Arabidopsis thaliana: one gene and its partners. The main gene of each other region encodes a partner of the protein of the gene in region 3 in a complex. Each region holds a gene or a part of one and is shown on either strand. Other genes may lie near its edges. The genes, in order: CAF1b, AT1G27890, AT1G31500 and AT1G27820.

Region 1 (4,492 bases), on a different chromosome or scaffold from region 3:
TGGATATCGAGACAAGAAGTGAGGGATGCAGCTAGAAATTACATTGGGGACACTGGTTTGCTTGATTTTGTGTTGAAGTCGCTTGGGAACCAGGTGGTTGGAAACTATTTGGTCCGACGTAGTCTAAATCCGGTGAAGAAAGTGCTAGAGTATTCCTTGGAGGATATATCAAATTTGTTACCAAGTAGTAACAATGAACTCATAACCCTTCAAAACCAAAACTCAATGGGGAAGATGGCGACAAACGGTCACAATAAGATCACAAGAGGTCAAGTTATGAAAGACATGTTTTATTTTTACAAACACATTCTCATGGACTACAAGGGAGTGTTAGGCCCCATAGGAGGTATATTGAACCAAATCGGAATGGCTTCAAGAGCAATCCTCGACGCTAAGTACTTCATCAAAGAGTATCACTACATTAGAGATACATCGGCGAAAACGTTACACTTAGATCGAGGGGAAGAATTAGGAATATTCTGCACGATCGCGTGGAAATGTCATCATCATAACAACGAGATAAAAGTTCCTCCACAAGAATGCATTGTAGTGAAGAAAGATGCAACATTGAGTGAAGTGTACGGAGAGGCAGAAAGAGTGTTTAGAGATATCTATTGGGAACTAAGAGACGTCGTGGTGGAGTCAGTGGTGGGTGGTCAAATAGAGATCACAAGGGTCGATGAAATGGCCTTGAATGGGAATAAGGGATTGGTGTTAGAAGGGAACGTAGGAATGATGATGAACATTGAAGTGACGAAATGTTATGAAGATGATGATAAAAAGAAGGATAAGAGAATAGAGTGTGAGTGTGGAGCAACGGAAGAAGATGGAGAGAGAATGGTGTGTTGTGATATTTGTGAAGTATGGCAACACACAAGGTGTGTTGGTGTTCAACACAATGAGGAAGTGCCTCGCATTTTTCTTTGTCAAAGTTGTGATCAACATCTTATTCCTCTCTCTTTTTTACCCTAAATCATTCATGTTATATTAAACCTTCTTTTTTTCTATCATTACGTCATAATACATAAATTATACTCCTCGATCAACGTGAATTCTAATGATCCCTCCTGCGTCTATATCACCAACATGTTGAATCACAAAGTCATATCCTTGCCTCCTCTGGAGCCTGACTGTTCTAATAATATCATTATCAACATGTCGCTCTCCTCTTCCCCTGATGACTCATGTGACGTCATCTACTCCAACCGTGATTCCAAGTTTTACTTGACAACAACCTTAAGGCTTGTCTCCAAGAAAAGGCAGTTAAATTTTAACAGAAAATAATTCACAACACAAGGCGGAGAAAGAAGTGTGTAGTGTTTTAAATAATTTAGGCTTACAATTGATGCAAAAACAAAATTACAAACAAAAGAAGGTTTACATAATTTAAATAATTTAGTTTTACAATTGATGCATTTGGAATTAATAAATTATTTCTTCATTAACATGGAACAATATCAAGTTATTGCAAACAAAGGAAATGAAAGAAAAACAGTCATGTGTTTAACAACTCTGTTCAAGGTCAACGTCCTAAAAAGTTTCTTATTATATTGACTGAAGATGGAAAACTCCACGGACTATCTACGTTTGTGATATTGTTTCTAGAAATTGGGACTTACATCCAAATCTGGAAGAACAATCTTCTAAACACTACCAACAAAGTCATGAGATTCGATGAGTAAACTAGGGAACAATGAAAACTGAAAAGGGCTCAACCTAGGCTTCGCTGTTGCTACAATTTCGTGAAAACATTAAAGCACAATCAGATACGTGTAGACATCATCATAATCTAATGATTCAACCCTTTAATGCGTTTTTAGTGCGTCGTTACATATTCAGTGTTTATTGGTAATATAGCAATATTCCTGATAAAGTTCATTGGTCGTAAGTCGTAACGTTTACATGTTTTATTCAACTCTTAAAAACCAATAGAAAATCTTAATGTACTTGGCCTTCTTATTCTTGTCGGCTTAATGTACTTACTTAAATACAACGACTTGAATTGCAATAATTCGATACACGAAGGAGAAGCCAACTTAGACTAAGTCAAGAAACACATTGAATCATAAACGTGCGCGTTTCTCACACTTCTTCTCCTCTCCTTCCTCGTAAACACTCTCTTACTCACATTCATATATATAACTAAACCTTGCAGATTAACCAAATCAACAAAAAAAAACAGACTTTTGATAAATTCACAACGAAGAAGAAGACCTAAAAGATCGGGACTTGAAACTATGATCAAATCAGAAGCAGATCTCTCCGATGTGATCGTGATTCGTGACGTTTGGGCTTATAATCTCGAGTCAGAGTTTGACCTAATCAGAGGAATCGTCGAAGATTACCCATTCATCTCAATGGATACAGAATTTCCCGGCGTGATTTACAAGGCGGATCTCGACGTTCTCCGCCGTGGAAACCCTAATTATCTCTACAATCTTCTCAAATCCAACGTTGACGCTTTAAGTTTGATCCAAGTCGGTCTTACTCTCTCCGACGCCGACGGAAACCTCCCAGATCTCGGCGGTCAAAAAAACCGTCGATACATCTGGGAATTCAATTTCCGTGACTTCGACGTGGAGCGTGATCCACACGCTCCTGATTCGATCGAGCTACTCCGTCGTCACGGGATCGATTTCGAGCGGAACCGTCGCGAAGGTGTTGAATCGGAGAGGTTCGCGGAGCTGATGATGTCATCGGGGTTGATCTGTAACGAGTCTGTGAGCTGGGTGACGTTTCACAGCGCGTATGATTTTGGTTACCTTGTGAAGATTCTCACGCGCCGGCAGCTTCCGGTGGCGTTGCGTGAGTTTTTAGGGTTGCTTAGAGCTTTCTTCGGTGATAGGGTTTATGATGTGAAACATATTATGAGGTTTTGTGAGCAGAGATTGTATGGTGGTTTGGACCGGGTTGCTCGGTCTCTTGAAGTTAACCGGGCGGTTGGGAAATGTCATCAAGCCGGTTCGGATAGTTTGCTGACGTGGCAGGCGTTTCAGAGGATGAGGGATTTGTATTTCGTTGAGGATGGGGCGGAGAAACACGCCGGAGTTTTGTATGGTTTAGAGGTTTTTTGAGGGATTTATAATTAATTAATTTAATTAATCTTTGTTAATCATTTATACAGTCGAAATCGAAATTATCTTATTCATCTCTCGTTTTAACCAAATCCAAAAACCAAAACGAAATAACTCAATTTGGTTTTGTTTAACCAATTTACACTTCAAAACTTTTTGTGCAGTAAAATATTATCGTTACGTTAGAGCTAGGCTTTGAGGTATAACTTTGATTTTTGTTGGTGTTGTTTAATAGTTTACATCTAGTCATGGAATCATAAATTGAAATTATTCACAATATTGTAACATCTATATATAGAGAGAGATATGAGGAGGATTTAGTTCCTCATTTTGAAGAAGTTTGGTGTGAGTCATCATCATTGTTATCAAGAGGATTGTTAACATATAGACGAAGCAATCTCCCAAGTGACTTCCCACGTCGGTCGTGTGGTGGTTGGAGATGTGAACAGACGTCGACAAAAGCACGGACGATGAGATTGTGTTGAGGAGAAGGGTTTATGTCCAAGAAACACCTTAGAAGCTCCTTAAGTTCACTTTCCGTCTCGATATATCTCTCTTCGATCATCTGATTCATCGACTTCTTGTAATCTTCGAACGGATTGATTGATTCTTTAGCCATCGCGACGCTCTCATCGATCTTAGGACATGGGCTGCGTAAAACCGTGGGAGAAACCGGTGGTCCCGGGGTGTAGTGGCTGTGAGAGGAAGGTGGAACGGTAGAGCCGCAACCGCATGCCATAAAAATGGGTTTGAATATGGTTTTGAGTATATACTTCATCATCTTCTTGAAAGACATTTTTTTTTTTACTAGAGGAAGAGAAAACAAGTTGAGATTATTGAGTGAGGATGTTGGTGTGGGAAAGTTTGTTAAAAGAGGAACCTTTTTTTCATTTAACTTAGCTTGGAGATTCAGCATTGCTCATTGCTTTGGAGATGCACAATTTTGATGGATTTCTTTTTTAAGGAAAATAATACCATCTTGAGGTGAATTCAAAGTTATATATGATATCATTTGTAAGAAACTATCTCGAGTGATATCAAAGGATTGGACATAGAAACCGATTTGAACCAAAAAGAAATCTCTCAAACCACAACCGAACCAATATGTTTTCGTCAAGATTTTTGATGAACGGAAATATGTTTTAGTTTCGATCTGGTTACCTTTTTGGTAAACCGGAAATGGAGCATGTAAAACTACTAAGCACCCGTCTACAACTCTAAAAGGTTTTGCAGTTTCACATGAACAAGACCAATATTAAGAAATCAATGGGCTAAGGCTAATTCTATATTAAGCCTGAGAAGCTAACAAAGAAAAAAAATGAAGAATACAACGAAGGGGTTGGTTTCTCTACTTTTATTTTGCAATCTCTATTCTATGATAATGCAATGCAGCTACTGTACAAGTACAACATTAACTC
Region 2 (4,177 bases), 1.6 Mb from region 3:
AAGCTCTAACAGTTGTTGCTATGCTGTCAGCAGAGACAACTCTTCTTCCTGCTAGGAGGTTAGTTTTTACGATATACAATAACCTGGGTCAGATTGTGAAATGTTTAAAATCACATTGACTAGATACAGATGCGTCAACTCTTGTCTTTATGGTTTTTGCTTGCATGATAGTAAACCCAGTGAAAAGAAGAGGAAACATGATGAAGATTCTAATCTTCCTAATGGATCCGGATATGGTGATCACATTCAACTGCTACAGATTTTCGAATCTTGGGACCGTACTAATTATGATCCTGTATGGTGCAAAGAGAACGGCATGCAGGTAATTGTTCCATTTTCTTCCTTCCTTCCTTATCTATTCTCGAGTATTCCAAGTGAAAAGCATGGTGACATCAAAAGCCTTACTGCATTGTTACTTCAGAAGGTGGTCAGTTATATGCTGTCTCTGCAGTTAATACAATCTATATAGCATAGAAAATCCCTTCATTGTTGAGACCTGACTCCGATGGGCGTCAATGTTTGTATTTTCTGCTTCATACAGTTTTATAACCAACAATTATGGGAGTTACTGAAATTTACTACCTTTGTTTAGATAGTCTATTTCGGTACATTATTACGTGGGTTCCTTATGCCAATAAGAAAGATAACTTTTGTTGAAAAATAATTTGCAGGTGCGAGGGATGGTGTTTGTCAAAGATGTTAGAAGACAGTTATGTCAGATTATGCAGAAAATATCCAAAGGTTAGATTGTTTCATGACAAGAAGATTCCGTGAAAGAATATATAATTATTTCTCTATGGCTTTCACCCTAAATGGTTATGCCTCCAACAGAACCAGAGTTTATGTCAACATCACTCTTTTATCTTGTGAGATGTGATAGGTGGCTGTGTCATACCTAACCAACCGTCACTAAAATATTTGGTCTCCTTGACAAACTAGATCGATTGGAAGTTGGGGCAGATGGTAGGAAGAGTTCAAGCCGAGACGACTACAGGAAGTTGAGGAAAGCTCTATGCGTTGGTAATGCAAACCAAATTGCTGAGAGAATGCTTCGTCACAATGGATACCGGACTCTTAGTTTCCAGTCCCAGCTAGTCCAGGCATTACTTCTCAATCCAAGTCTCATTTATCTGTTACAGTGTTAGATTTTCTATTACATCAGTAGCTCAGATATGTAAGCATTTCCAGTTTCGTATGATCATCGACATATTGACGTTTTTGGTTGATTCTAGGTGCATCCATCATCTGTATTGAGTGCCGACAATGACGGAATGATGCCTAACTACGTAGTGTACCATGAGCTGATTTCCACCACACGTCCGTTCATGCGGAATGTTTGTGCAGTAGATATGGCATGGGTGGCTCCCATCAAAAGAAAGATCGAGAAATTAAATGTCAGAAAATTGAGGTAAAAACAAACATTACTCTTTACTAGTTCAATCCAGTCTTGTTCTAGCTTTTTCTTGTCTGGTCTTGGATTCAGTAATTGATCGGTATCATTTAATCTGCCATGTAGCGGTGGACCGGCTCCCTCTTTCAAAGTACCTGAGGAGAAGACGGAGTTGTCTAAAAACAATGCAGAAACACCTGCAGTTTCTGAAAATGTTGAGAGTCGGATTGAAGCAGCCAGAGAACGCTTTCTTGCTCGTAAAGGACAGAAATAAATTTGATGTCTCAAACATAAATACAAGATTCAACTAGCCCTATAAAGAATAGAAAAGAGAAGCTTTCTGTAGAAGATTTGTTATTAGAGACAATTTTCAAATTTTGTATGTTCTGTTTTTTTTTTTTTTGGCTCAACTTAAACTTTTCTTTATTCTCATTCGACATGAGTTTTAAATTTTTAACCCAATTTGGTATGTTCTTAGTATTATGTTTAAAAGATGATAATGTTTACACGAAAAAAGAAAAGAAAAAGGTTTTGGTATTAGTCAGACTTCGGTTTAGTGATTTAATTCGGTTTAGTATTAAAATTGTAAACCGCTTCGGAAACAGGCTTCTCTTATTTTGGGCTTTTGAGAGGAAAATGGAAATCTCGTGTCCAACAAGAATTAAATTAGGAGTGATAAAAGTCAACACGAACTTTTTGACTGGAAAAAAATGGAAACTTTCCGGCGACGTAAGAAAAAAGGAAACTCCCACTGCTATTAGTATTCGAGTCTCCGAAATCAGATAGAGAGAGAGATTAGTATTTCAGATAAACAAACTGTTTCAGTCTTCAAAATCCGAGAGAGATGGGTGAAGTTTGGAGATGGAACAAGGAAGTAGAGATGGATTCGATAAGAGATTGTTTGAAACATTTTAGTTCCATCGCTATCGACACAGAGTTTCCCGGATGCTTAAAGGAGACTCCGATGGACGCGAGTGAGGAAATTCGTTACAGAGACATGAAGTTCAATGTGGACAACACCCATCTCATCCAGTTAGGTTTCACGCTATTCGACAGAAGAGGAATCACTAAAACCTGGGAAATAAACTTGTCAGATTTCAACGAACATAAGTGCTTCAAAAACGATAAGTCCATAGCTTTTCTCAAAAGCAATGGTCTCAATCTGGACAAGATCGGAGAGGAAGGTATTGGAATCGAAGAATTCTTTAGAGACTTTTCTCAGATTCTCAAGGAGAAGGACGGAAAGATAACTTGGGTGAATTTTCAAGGCTCTTACGACAATGCTTATCTCGTTAAAGGCTTAACGGGAGGGAAACCGTTACCGGAGACTAAGGAAGAGTTTCACGAGACCGTCGAGCAGCTTTTGGGAAAGTTTGTTTTTGACGTAAAGAAAATCGCTGAATCATGCAGCGGACTAAGTAGCCGATTCGGACTACAGAGAATAGCTGATGTGTTGCAGATGAAACGTGTTGGAAAAGCTCATCACGCTGGCTCAGACAGTGAATTGACGGCTCGTGTCTTCACTAAGTTGACTTTCGATTTGCTCAATAGTAGAAAGCAGTGTGTAAGACGAGTTGATCATCAGCAATATCAACTAGAGCAGCAGCAGCTTATGATGACTAGATGTTACATCCCAATACCGATACCTATACCGAGACCGAGATCGGTGATGTTTGCTGCTCATCACCCGAACCCGTATTTTGGTGGTGGTTACTTTGGGATGCCGGTCCAAGGAAGGAACTACGTTTTGTGATGCCTGAATGTTTGTTTAACATGACTTGCTCTGCTATTATGTATAATTTCTAGTTTTATCAGATGTTTCTTTAAATACTAAAGATTAACTTTCATCTTTTCTTGTCGATCAAAACAATTCTCTCAACTCTCATATGACACAATTTCTCTTTACTGGATACTTTCAATGAATCTAGAATACAATACAAATAAATTTAAATATCCTAAGAATCTACTCAAAGCCTCTAATCTTATGTTATGTAGCTAAAGCTGCGTTCCTGTCAACAAAATTGAACAACTCTGTTTGTGCCGCTTCCATTATCACTCGGAAGTCTACGTTCATATACCTTCCCCTGCAAAGCCATATTTCAATTAAATCACATGTACCATCACCAAACAATAACTTGCATGGCTTGGTTTAGCTGATGATGATGAATATACCAGAAATGAGTCTTGGACCAGACTGAATTCGGAAAAGCTGGACTTCCAACTCCGTGCATTATTCTCGCGATGGCTCTTGGTGTGAATTTGGCTTGGCGATTACTCTGCAAAAACACCTGTTTTGACACACAATAGTTAACTGGACATTCTTTGGATACATGGCAAAACAATAAAGTATGAACAACAGTGTGGCTTCTTGGATCTTCACCTTTATGTCTGCTCGTAGAAAGGCGCTGCATCCACAATACAAGCGTTGATCAATTTAATGGAAAGATGACTTTGACAAACAAATAATATGTAACAACCGCAGTTTTATATTTCCTTATTCGCTATGCAATAATCGAAATTTGGAATCTATGAAAACAAGTAAAATATTTTGTTAGTACCAATTTTGAGTAGCCTTGCTCGGACTGTCACACTTTTCATCACCATTGAAGTAATCAAAGATTCTGCTTTGCAGGCTCCGAGTTTGCTTGGCACCAGAACTCAGTTCTGAAGTGTTAGAGACACTAATCGCAGCCACAGCTGCACTAGACATAATATCCAGTTTTCTCACCTATATCAGAAGCAAAAATTATTGCTACATATAAGCACAAGCGTTGGAACTTAAATTAT
Region 3 (6,551 bases):
AGGTTCTCAAGGGAAGCTTATGCTAAATGATATTTATTTATAAGAACATATAATAAGCATAGAAAATATAATATTTTTGTTCGGTTGTTTGTGATTATATATTCAAAGGAATGATCACTATCCGTTTTGAAAAAATCTTATGTTTTTGGAACATAACATTACATCACTGTCATTTTGGATAAAAGTTTGAAGAGTACGACTTTATTCAATAACAATGGTTCAAATTATCGGTGAAAGGTGAGACTGTAAAAGAATATTCGTTCGTACTCAAAATTATGATTTATTATTATAAGTTGGTGCGATAGTACAAACTTTAGTGGTTGATAGATAAAACAGATCAATGCTTGACCTAATTTTGTTGCAACTTTATTCAACAAATTGAAACGAGATCATCATATGATATTAACATGTCATTTCACTAAATCTTCTATTGTTTTTGTCTAGTTGACTACAGAATAATAGAACCAATTCTTATGTTATTTTATGAGTGCAATAAACAAGACACATTAAACAATTTCTTCTCAAGAAAATTCAAATATTCTCAGTAATTCAATGCACACAACGAAAATTTCGAGTTTATTGAGACAAAAATGATCCAAGTCCTTTAATACTTTGTGTTGTGTGTGTATGATTCACTGCTTCATGATTTCTACAAGAACCATATTCAAATGCTGAAACAATGGAGTTATGCGACAAAACTTTCTAAAGAACGAAACTTCCTATTCCCGACGAATCTCAAACTCAGCTCCTATAGGTAAATGATCACTCGGGTGATGATGATTCGGTAAGAAACCGACAACATCTGGAGAATCCGGCTCAGGTAGTTGAAGGATACTCACAGGTTTAATGAAGTCTGAAGGAGAGATGAAGATGTAGTCAAGTGTGTTTGTGAAGCCAGGAGTGCAATTTGTGAACTTAGGCTCTCCTCTTGTGACTTCATAGACACTAGACAGAGGAACTGGAGCTTCTTCTTCTTCTATGGTCTCTGTGGGTTTAGCATTACCCGATACTAGGTAACTATAAACCTGGAAAACGACGACAAGTATCAGGATTTTACCACCGTAAACCCAATCTTTTGATTTTGCAAATAGATTGAACAATTAGGGAAACTCAATGTAAGAAACTGAATCAAACCATATCCCCAGGAATTGAATTGAAGTCGCCAGCTAGTAGCAATGAAGGTGTGCACTCAAATTCATCTGATATTAGTGTTTTGAACTGAGCTAGTCGTGACAGTAGATACTTGGCTTGAGCAAGCTTGACATCAGCCAATTCAGGGTCCCTAGAGATAAGTAAACATGAGATGAAAGTTTAAAGGGTGGTAAAAGATAATCTTCAATCGGTGACAAGTATTTTTACCAGTAAAGATGTGTGTTTGCCACGATAACGATATGCTGAAACGGCTTGTTGATCCTAAAAGCAGCCATTATTCCAACGCAATCACGTTTTAGTCTCACTAGTGGATCATTAAGGTCACGACTGTCTTTTCGAGAATCTTTTGTTTGGGGCAGATTTGTGGAAACATGTGAAGAGAACATAGATAAAAGTTAGTAATGATGTTGAGATATAAAGAAACAGCACAAAGTATTTGCTTTCTTTTCCTCCAAAAGGACAAATTTATCTTTCGCTTTCTCATCACCTTTTCCTTCGTTGGATGTCTCAATCTTCTGTTCGCTGCAGGAAACACTATCTGCTTTTATTGAGTCCACAAGATCATTATATTCGATCCGTTCCTTTGTGACTAACTCTGCACTAAATCAAAAGAAGAGTGTTGTTTCAATCAGATTGATGTTTTTGCATTAAGTTAACGTCTTGTCAGGCTTAATGTTTTTATCATACCAGCTTGGCTTGTAGAAGATTGCACAACCATCACGCTTCCTCTGGCCGGTTCTCTGAATATAAATCCCAGAATATCCCAGAGAGTCCATGTTATTTCTGTAAAAGCTATCGTACTCATCTACTTCCTGCGAGCATTGCAACTATATAACTAACAAGTGGAGACACCCTTTTGTTAAACACAATTCAAAGGCCCTATGAACAAACAACACTAACATTTTTACAGGCCTGAGCTTGTCTAATGGATTGAACAAAAGAGAAGAATGAATTTTGTGTTTCATACGAAAAGGGTATCTCAATACTACCTAAACACAAAAGAAGAAGTTTTCACAAGAATAAAGTACCTGCAGACAAAAGAAATCAGCCTGGAGATTTTTGAGAACGCTGAGAATTGCATGTGAACGAGCTTTCCATCTGCAACACAAGAAAAGGAAGACCAAGTCACATTTACTACAAAACCATAACCCTTTAAGAAGCACCATTCCCTAATATTTTAACAAAGTTAATATATCGCTAAATCCAAAGTACATATTGGGTAATGGATAATTAACGTGGGTAAGACCAAACACAATATTGCCTGCTTATAGCTAAGTTCCTAAACATTCATAGAATCCATTGTTGTTTTCTGAAGCAAATCTTGACTATACTCCAGGCCATTGATTACACAACTCACAGAAAGAACTCTTGACTAGTATAAGTAAATTTGATCTCGAAACTGAGAAATGTAGAGAAAAATAATTACTTGAGACAGGCAGGTGGAGAGTGTGGGAGAAGTGCACTCTTCACATAAACCTACAAGAAATATAAAGCTCAAATAGATAAGAAACTCAACAAAGGAAAGAGCTAAAAGAACTGTCTGTATCTATAAATCAAGCTCAGAAATTCGTAAGATCGTTTAAAACTACAAAATTCGTCCAAATATTAAGCTACAAAATATCACAAAGCATATGAGAGATTAAAAAGCTTGATTATTTCTTACCTGAGCTAATATGTTATATGAAACAAGACGGAATCTGATACCTGAAAACACAAAATTCTCATTACTAGTACCAATTCTACTTAAACTTATACAGTTATATAAAGCCACAAGCTTTGATAAGTAAAGAGGAATAGCAAAAAAACCATCGGATTTATTTCTTGAACCAATATCAACTCCTTCAACAGATTCAAATTTGCGAACTTTTGGTTCAATTGCAGGATTCGTACTCATTCTTCTCGAAATAACTTTCCTGCAGACACGAGAGCTGTTGAATCAAAGGGTCAGGAAAAAAAACAATCCTTGAACATCAATATTTAGGTCAAAATTAAGAAGCTGATTTAATTCCCCATAAAATTTCAATTACAGCCCAGATAAATTCGAGATTCTAGAGGATTGGTTCCAATATAAAGATGAGAAATTTCTAAACAAATTGTATTCCTCAACGAAATTGCCCAATGACAATGAACAGAGACGATCAATTTAGTTGCATTACTAAATACGAAACTTGAGATTACAGAAAATGAAACTGTATATTGATTGATACAGAAACGAAGAAACCCACCTGGGAAGAAGAAGATTCGGACGAGGAAGATGATGCAGAGTTGTAGAACTAAACATCTATAGTGACAACAATTGACTTAACCCAATTTGGCTTTAGATTGAAGAAACTCTTGTGGGTTTTCAAATAAAATAGTGAAGAATTCGATAATTATCATTTGCTCCCTGTCTTTATATTAAAGTAGTTAGTGAGCCTTCATTTTATTTATTGGAACTTTAGAACCAAAAATAGGTCATTAGTAGGTTCATTTACTTTCCAACAAATAAAAATCCAATCGAAATCAACGTCAAAATCCAAAACCCAAAATTTTCAAAAATTCCCAAAGCACCTATATATATAACTATATAAGTTAGTATGAGTTTCTAAATCATTTACTGTCAGATATTTAGTCTATAAATGGTTGTGTACCAGACTAAAATCTAATTAATCGATATTTAACTAATTCACCATTACGGACCAATATACACTATTGCGAATTAAAAATTTCCATACTAACACTCACTTGAGCATAAAACTTTATAAGATGAGAAATTATAGATATATTTCCCAAAAAGCTTCACACCAATATTAATATAACAAGGGGATTGACGTAAATGACACTAAAAAACTTTATTATTCCAAAAAATGACACCTTTTTTTTGAAATTTCCAAAATAGCATATAAAATTTTTAATCCTCTATAAATTAATTAAATAATAAAGTTTTTTTTATTACTATTTGTATCAATCCCCCAAATAAAAATGAGAGCAAACATTAATCTAATATTAAATTGAATCAAAAAAGTTTTTAATAATAAAAATATATACCCTAAATTGAAAATAACAAACCCAAATATAATACTACAAACTAATTTGGTAAAGGACATACTACAAACTAATTTGGTAGAGGACATGCAAGCAATGGAAAACACTAATCACAGAACCGATATTCGTCAACAAGCACATGTCTCACATGCATGGTCTTGAACCGATATTCACAGTCTTCAATTACGTTCCGGCCACAGTTTCTCCATTGTGCTCAACAATTTCTTGTATCGGTATGGATTTCAACAACAAACCTAGTTTAAATTTTCAGGTTTTTAAACCGCTTTCATCTTCGGATTTATTGGAGCACAACATGTTTCATTGTGATGGTCTATTGCTAATGGTCATGGGAACCAAAATTTTAGTTTCCAATCCGTTGTTGAAAGAAGCAAGATGGATCAAATGTGGCTATAGCTTTGAGTTTGACCATTCCATCGATGCATATGGTCTTGGATACATTAGTAACGAGTCACCAAGTGGTTGTAATGATTACAAAATGGTTAGGTTTCGGTGTCCTAATAATTTAAGTGTTGAAATCTACGATTTCAAATCTGATTGTTGGAAGGTTGTTGTTGTTGATAAAACCTTCCATGGGTTCTTTCGACTACCATTGTCAAGTGTGTGTATAGGAGGAACTCCTTATTGGATAGGTTATAATATCTACGGTACCGTTTCGATACAAAGTTTCGATTTCTCAAAAGAGAGATTTGAGACCTTGTTCGAGTCTCTTCATCACTCATCCATCGGGATCCAGTGGAAAGATTCTCTTTCTTTAGGGATTTTCCGTGGAGATCATCTTTCTTTGTTACGTGAACCGCACTTAGCAGGTAAGATATACTGATGAAGAAGCATTGGAGTAGGTTAATGACAGTTTCTATAGCTCAACTTCCCAAGTTTCCAATATATCCAAGTCACTTCATTGAGAACAATGGTAAGATTCTGCTATATATTCGTCACTTTGTAACTAGGTCAATTAGCATCTACGTTGTGGGAGAGACATAAGAATGCCCGAAAGTTGAATGTTACTCTTCTATGGAGTCTTCAATTGGTGGTCCTGGTTGCTACTATATATGTCCCAAGCTTACTTCCGGTTCCAGGCTTTTCGAGGTAATTAAGAGGAAGAAGAATAAGCGTGCTCCGATCCATTGCTACGAGTTAAATGGTTATCTTCTTTCATGTTTATAATGGTCTTTACTTTCGAACTCTATAAACATAGTGGGATAACTTCATAAGAGTTTGAATCTGGTTCGAAAAAAGTGGGAAACAATATTTATGCATACAAATATGGTTTTTTATTTTGATTATTTCTATGTTCATATTATTGCTTCGGCGGATCTGAACTCAATGCCAATGAGCAAATGATCACTCGCTTTCGGTGTCTCGTAATATAAGATCATGATTTGATATTCGAGGTCTTTATGCATCCGTGGTTCCTTATTCCCCAAGCTTAATCTCTTTATTGCATAAATTGTATACGTTCTCGTCATATATTCTACTTATTTACTTGGTATAGTTATTTCTGGATATGACAAAAAGTAAACTCTACATTAATATTTTGGAGAGATTTTGAATAAGTATGGGAAAATACAAGAGAAGAATCTTTAACAAAAAAAAATACAAGGGAAGGAATGTTGTTTAAAAAGAGTTGTTTCATAGATGAAAAGTGCTTTTCTCTTATCTTAAGAAACCATCTGAATTATAACTTCTACATATATAAACGCCATGTATCACTGCTAGTGAGGTCTCCGGCGTTTACTCGGAGAATGGCGAGGTGAGCGTAAACAATGGGAGGTACCATCCTAAAGGGGTATGCAGCATCTTTGTAGCTATAGATCATGATATTGAACTTTGAGAGAATAGCATCCACACCAGCATCTTCTGGCTTCATGGACGTCTGAAGATAAGGGAACTCGAAGACTTTTCTTGCTCGAATGTTTGATGCAACATGTATACTAGTAAAAATAATAACGAACCAACCCAAAGTCAACAACTAGATCGAACATGGCAAAACACGTACAAAACAAAAAGTAACAAACAGAGGAGAAACAATTATGAGTAGAGATATTACCTTTGAGCTCCATGGAGATGATCTTCATTAATCCCAAGCTGCTCATTATGGATGTTCAAAATCTCTTCGTCAACTCTAAAGAATGGTCGCCAACTGTGATACGTCTAATGTATTTTGAGTTGGTGTGTACTCAAGAAATGCTCCATGAATGAAACCGGAGGCTAGATTTCTTCTTCGTCCTTCCTCTCAGCTAGCGTATCTTCTTGGTTTAATGGAGTCGCTATGAATCAATAACCATTTCTCTCTCCAGTGTTGAAGCTGGTCAGCTTCTTGCATGCAAGCCGCAAGAGTCATTTGTATCCATCCC
Region 4 (4,222 bases), 1.6 Mb from region 3:
TTAAACTCGTTCCGAGTCAATGCGAACCGAATAAACAACGATCGACTGTAAGACCAAAACGAATCTCTTTATTCGGCGAAGACCATAAATTTGTAACTAAAGATAACTACGTCAAAGTGTAAAAGTAAAATAATAAAAATCTATTTGAACACAGTTCTTTTACTGGGTAGTTTCACCCTTTACAAAATTTGCAGAATGTAGTTGCAGCCTATTCGACTTTTTGTAAATGACCAAGTTGGCAACTTAATAAATACCGCGTGGTTTATAGCTCATGTGCGTAGACTTCCGTGTGAAAATGGAAGCGGCACAAACAGAGTTGTTCAATTTTGTTGACAGGAACGCAGCTTTAGCTACATAACATAAGATTAGAGGCTTTGAGTAGATTCTAAGATATTTAAATTTATTTGTACTGTATTCTAACTTTTTAGATTCATTAAAAGTATCCAGTAAAGAGAAATTGTGTCATATGAGAGTTAAGAGAATTGTTTTGATCGACAAGAAAAGATGAAAGTTAATCTTTAGTATTTAAAGAAACATCTGATAAAACTAGAAATTATACATAATAGCAGAGCAAGTCATGTTAAACAAACATTCAGGGATCACAAAACATAGTTCATTCCTTGGACCGGCATCCTAAAGTAACCACCACCAAAATACGGGTTCTGGTGATGAGCAGCAAACATCACCGGTCTCGGTCTCGGTATCGGCATCGGTATCGGGATGTAACATCTAGTCATCATAAACTGCTGATGCTGTTGCTGCTCTAGTTGAAATTGCTGATGATCAACTCGTCTTACACTCTGCTTTCTACTATTAAGCAAATCGAAAGTCAACTTAGTGAAGACACGAGCCGTCAATTCACTGTCTGAGCCAGCGTGATGAGCTTTTCCAACACGTTTCATCTGCAACACATCAGCTATTCTCTGTAGTCCGAATTGGCTACTTAGTCCGCTGCATGATTCAGCGATTTTCTTTACGTCAAAAACAAACTTTCCCAAAAGCTGCTGGACGGTCTCGTGAAACTCTTCCTTAGTCTCCGGTAACGGTTTCCCTCCCGTTAAGCCTTTAACGAGATAAGCATTGTCGTAAGAGCCTTGAAAATTCACCCAAGTTATCTTTCCGTCCTTCTCCGTGAGAATCTGAGAAAAGTCTCTAAAGAATTCATCGATTCCAATACCTTCCTCTCTGATCTTGTCCAGATTGAGACCATTGCTTTTCAGAAACGCAATGGACTTATCGTTTTTGAAGCACTTATGTTCGTCGAAATCTGACAAGTTTATTTCCCAGGTTTTAGCGAATCCTCTTCTGTCGAATAGCGTGAAACCTAACTGGATGAGATGGGTGTTGTCCACATTGAACTTCATGTCTCTGTAACGAATTTCCTCACTCGCGTCCATCGGAGTCTCCTTTAAGCATCCGGGAAACTCTGTGTCGATAGCGATGGAACTACAATGTTTCAAACAATCTCTTATCGAATTCATCTCTACTTCCTTGTTCCATCTCCAAACTTCACCGCTACTAATTTGCTTCATCTCGAACGAAACTACGAAAGAAAAAAACGTTTGTTTTTCTGAAAGAGAAAAGCGAGAAGCCACCTGAATTTATTTTCGTTTGGTTATTAGGATTGTTGTTAGAGGAGATTAGATTATGTAGAGTAACACAGACTTCAGTTTCCTTTTTTTTTTAAGGCACAACACAAAATTTCCTTTTTGTTTCTCCTAATTCTTGTTAAACACGAGAATTTCCATTTTTCTCTTAAAAGCCAAAGAAAAAAAAAAAACTAACTTAGTGCGGTGATTGTTTTTCGCACATAATTATGTATATTTTATATAGAGCAACTAGATATTTGTTTAAATAGATTTTAATAACTTTATAATCATTTTTTACTGTGAATAGAAAATAGGGTAAATTGCAGGCCACATCCGTTGACCATGTTTTATTTCCATGGATTGTCAAAGTCAAATGTGGTTTTCACCATTTGTCTTTTCGCCTGCAAAATGACGTTTCTGCCCTTGCGTTTCTCTCTTAGCAACTGTTGAAATGTACGGTTTAGTTTAGCAGGTTTAGTTACGTACACTGTTCCGGTTCAGTTGAAGATTTTTTGTTCACGTTGACGCGATTCGGTTCCGTTACAAGTGAGATTATTCCGAAGTGACATCAACATTTAATGCCCCCAAAAAGTTTAGATGTGACTATTGTCACAATTAATGCAAAATCATCATTACATCAAATAATATTAAAAAAATTATTAATAATAATTAAAAAAAAATTTGTTGAGATGAAGAAGATGAACCCAGGAACAAAGAATTATTGCGAACGTACATTGCTGCTGAAGAAGTGTTGATCTTGTTTTTGTACCAAGTTTGGAGCATTGCTCGTGTAAGTAATGAAGTTCTTTTAAGAAGTTTTTTTTATGTCATATTAGGATCTTGATTGTGTTCGAACTCCATTTTTTTATCAGAATATTTGCAAAATCTATATTTGTTTGTTTAAAATAGTCAAATGATAATTGGTATTTAGGTTTATAAATGTGTAGTATCGACATTCCATTTGTTTTTTATATGTATAGTATTTTTCAGTTGCATTTAATGTGTGTCTCCTGAATTTATGATGCAGGTGGGTTATGGATATTCCCGTATTTACCATGGTCGGTGAGTGGAAATGCAAAGAAGGAGAATGGAAATTTGAACCTGAGGAAGGCATCTTTGGTCGTTGTGTACGCGTTCAGGAAACCATGACGTACACGGACTTTGTCCGTACACTCCGAGAGGCTTTCAGTTTGAAGTCCACCGAGATCAATCCCATAATTAGCTACTGGATGCCGGGTGAAATGTCAGTGCTGATAGATACTAAACGCCCTCCTGTATACATTGACAGTCAGATGGGTCTCGAGACGTTTTTTTTGGTTCGTGGTGGGTATCTTTCTCTCAACTTGTTCGTCTCTTTCAATAATACAGTGAAGGCGTTCGGGAATACTGTCTCTAGGTCTCATGGTGAAGTTTCTGAAAGTGACCGTGTGTTTGATAGTGCTACAAATGTTGATGAAAATAATGAGGATGCAGAGGAGCAAGCCGATGTTGAAGACGATACAACAGAAGCGGATGAATTGGAGGAGGGCAACGAAGATGATGATGGGTGTGATGATTATCTTGGTGTGGATGGATCTATTGGGGGAAGTACCCTGTATCCTACCACAGACGGTAGTGAAGGTATTGGCGAAGAATACGATTACAACAAGTGGAACGATGTAATAGTAGAAGAATATGTACAAGGAAATCTTGAGGAAGACGTCAGTCTCACTCAACAGACTGCTCAACATCCAGGGAAATTCAGTCGTTTATTGGAAACGTGTACGTACACGGGTGTTAGTGTACCTAGCGGAGATACAGGGGAATTCAGTCGTCTCTTGGAAACGTGTACGTACACTGGTCTTAGTGTACCTGGCGAAGAAACAATCTCTCCATTGGGTTACGGTACACGCTGCGAAGGGCAAAGGGATTCCAATCTTATTTGTATAGACGAAGTCACCAGGGATGAAGTGATCGAAGGTATTGGAGCTTCCTCAACTGGGACACAAAATGATAATGGGGTAGTTACCGCAGCTGAGGCTTACCAAGTGTATAATGAATTTCCTAAGTTACATGGTGGCGAGTTGGCGAATCTCGGTAACGATGCTGCTCCTGTGTTCGATGACTTACTCAATTTTTGAGCTGATGAGACACAGGTTGAAATCAGCACCACAGGCGAAACTTTGTTTGTTGGAAGTGTTTTTAAGAATAGAAAAGTCCTGCAACAAACAATGTCTCTTCAAGCGATAAAGCAATGCTTTTGCTTCAAGCAACCTAAGTCATGTCCTAAAACATTGAAGATGGTGTGCGTTGATGAGACTTGTCCATGGCAATTGACTGCTCGCGTCGTGAAGGATTCAGAAATTTCAAAATCACTTCGTATGCTACGACACATACGTGTAACATCGACTCTCGGAAGAACTACAATAAACATGCTAATTATAAGCTCCTCGGAGAAGTTGTGAGGAGCATATACAGTTCTACGCAGGGTGGGCCGCGAGCTGTCGACTTACCACAGCTGCTCCTAAATGATCTGAATGTGCGTATTTCATATTCTACCGCTTGGAGAGCAAAAGAGGTTGCAGTGGAAAATGTACGGGGGGATGAGATAGCAAATTACAGGTTTTTGCCGACCTATCTGTATCTTCTCCAAT

What was found.
Region 1: AT1G31500 (region 3) and CAF1b share a complex: the UniProt entries of both Arabidopsis thaliana proteins name them as parts of the CCR4-NOT complex.
Region 2: AT1G31500 (region 3) and AT1G27890 share a complex: the UniProt entries of both Arabidopsis thaliana proteins name them as parts of the CCR4-NOT complex.
Region 4: AT1G31500 (region 3) and AT1G27820 share a complex: the UniProt entries of both Arabidopsis thaliana proteins name them as parts of the CCR4-NOT complex.

The regions. Positions count from the first base shown.
Region 1 is NC_003076.8:7,364,187-7,368,678, reverse strand, and holds CAF1b (Polynucleotidyl transferase, ribonuclease H-like superfamily protein), read left to right. Parts: upstream 1-1,879; 5' UTR 1,880-2,237; coding exon 2,238-3,074; 3' UTR 3,075-3,202; downstream 3,203-4,492. Other genes in the region: MS1 (RING/FYVE/PHD zinc finger superfamily protein), read left to right, coding at 1-972; OFP10 (Ovate family protein), read right to left, coding at 3,400-3,990. UniProt on the Arabidopsis thaliana protein: Ubiquitous transcription factor required for a diverse set of processes. It is a component of the CCR4 complex involved in the control of gene expression.
Region 2 is NC_003070.9:9,713,102-9,717,278, reverse strand, and holds AT1G27890 (Polynucleotidyl transferase, ribonuclease H-like superfamily protein), read left to right. Parts: upstream 1-2,102; 5' UTR 2,103-2,234; coding exon 2,235-3,143; downstream 3,144-4,177. Other genes in the region: AT1G27900 (RNA helicase family protein), read left to right, coding at 1-58, 172-322, 672-741, 940-1,100, 1,233-1,408, 1,517-1,664; AT1G27880 (DEAD/DEAH box RNA helicase family protein), read right to left, coding at 3,378-3,474, 3,563-3,678, 3,771-3,795, 3,949-4,118. UniProt on the Arabidopsis thaliana protein: Ubiquitous transcription factor required for a diverse set of processes. It is a component of the CCR4 complex involved in the control of gene expression.
Region 3 is NC_003070.9:11,273,102-11,279,652, forward strand, and holds AT1G31500 (DNAse I-like superfamily protein), read right to left. Parts: upstream 3,528-6,551; 5' UTR 3,434-3,527; coding exon 3,378-3,433; exon of another isoform or gene 3,374-3,377; intron 3,081-3,373; coding exon 2,816-3,080; intron 2,629-2,815; coding exon 2,579-2,628; intron 2,251-2,578; coding exon 2,181-2,250; intron 1,965-2,180; coding exon 1,840-1,964; intron 1,753-1,839; coding exon 1,640-1,752; intron 1,496-1,639; coding exon 1,360-1,495; intron 1,283-1,359; coding exon 1,135-1,282; coding exon of another isoform or gene 1,129-1,134; exon of another isoform or gene 1,026-1,128; coding exon 720-1,025; 3' UTR 501-719; downstream 1-500. Other genes in the region: AT1G31510 (F-box associated ubiquitination effector family protein), read left to right, coding at 4,316-5,003, 5,048-5,107, 5,180-5,361; AT1G31520 (uncharacterized protein), read right to left, coding at 5,882-6,128, 6,245-6,337, 6,480-6,538. UniProt on the Arabidopsis thaliana protein: Acts as a catalytic component of the CCR4-NOT core complex, which in the nucleus seems to be a general transcription factor, and in the cytoplasm the major mRNA deadenylase involved in mRNA turnover.
Region 4 is NC_003070.9:9,688,938-9,693,159, reverse strand, and holds AT1G27820 (Polynucleotidyl transferase, ribonuclease H-like superfamily protein), read right to left. Parts: upstream 1,533-4,222; coding exon 600-1,532; downstream 1-599. UniProt on the Arabidopsis thaliana protein: Ubiquitous transcription factor required for a diverse set of processes. It is a component of the CCR4 complex involved in the control of gene expression.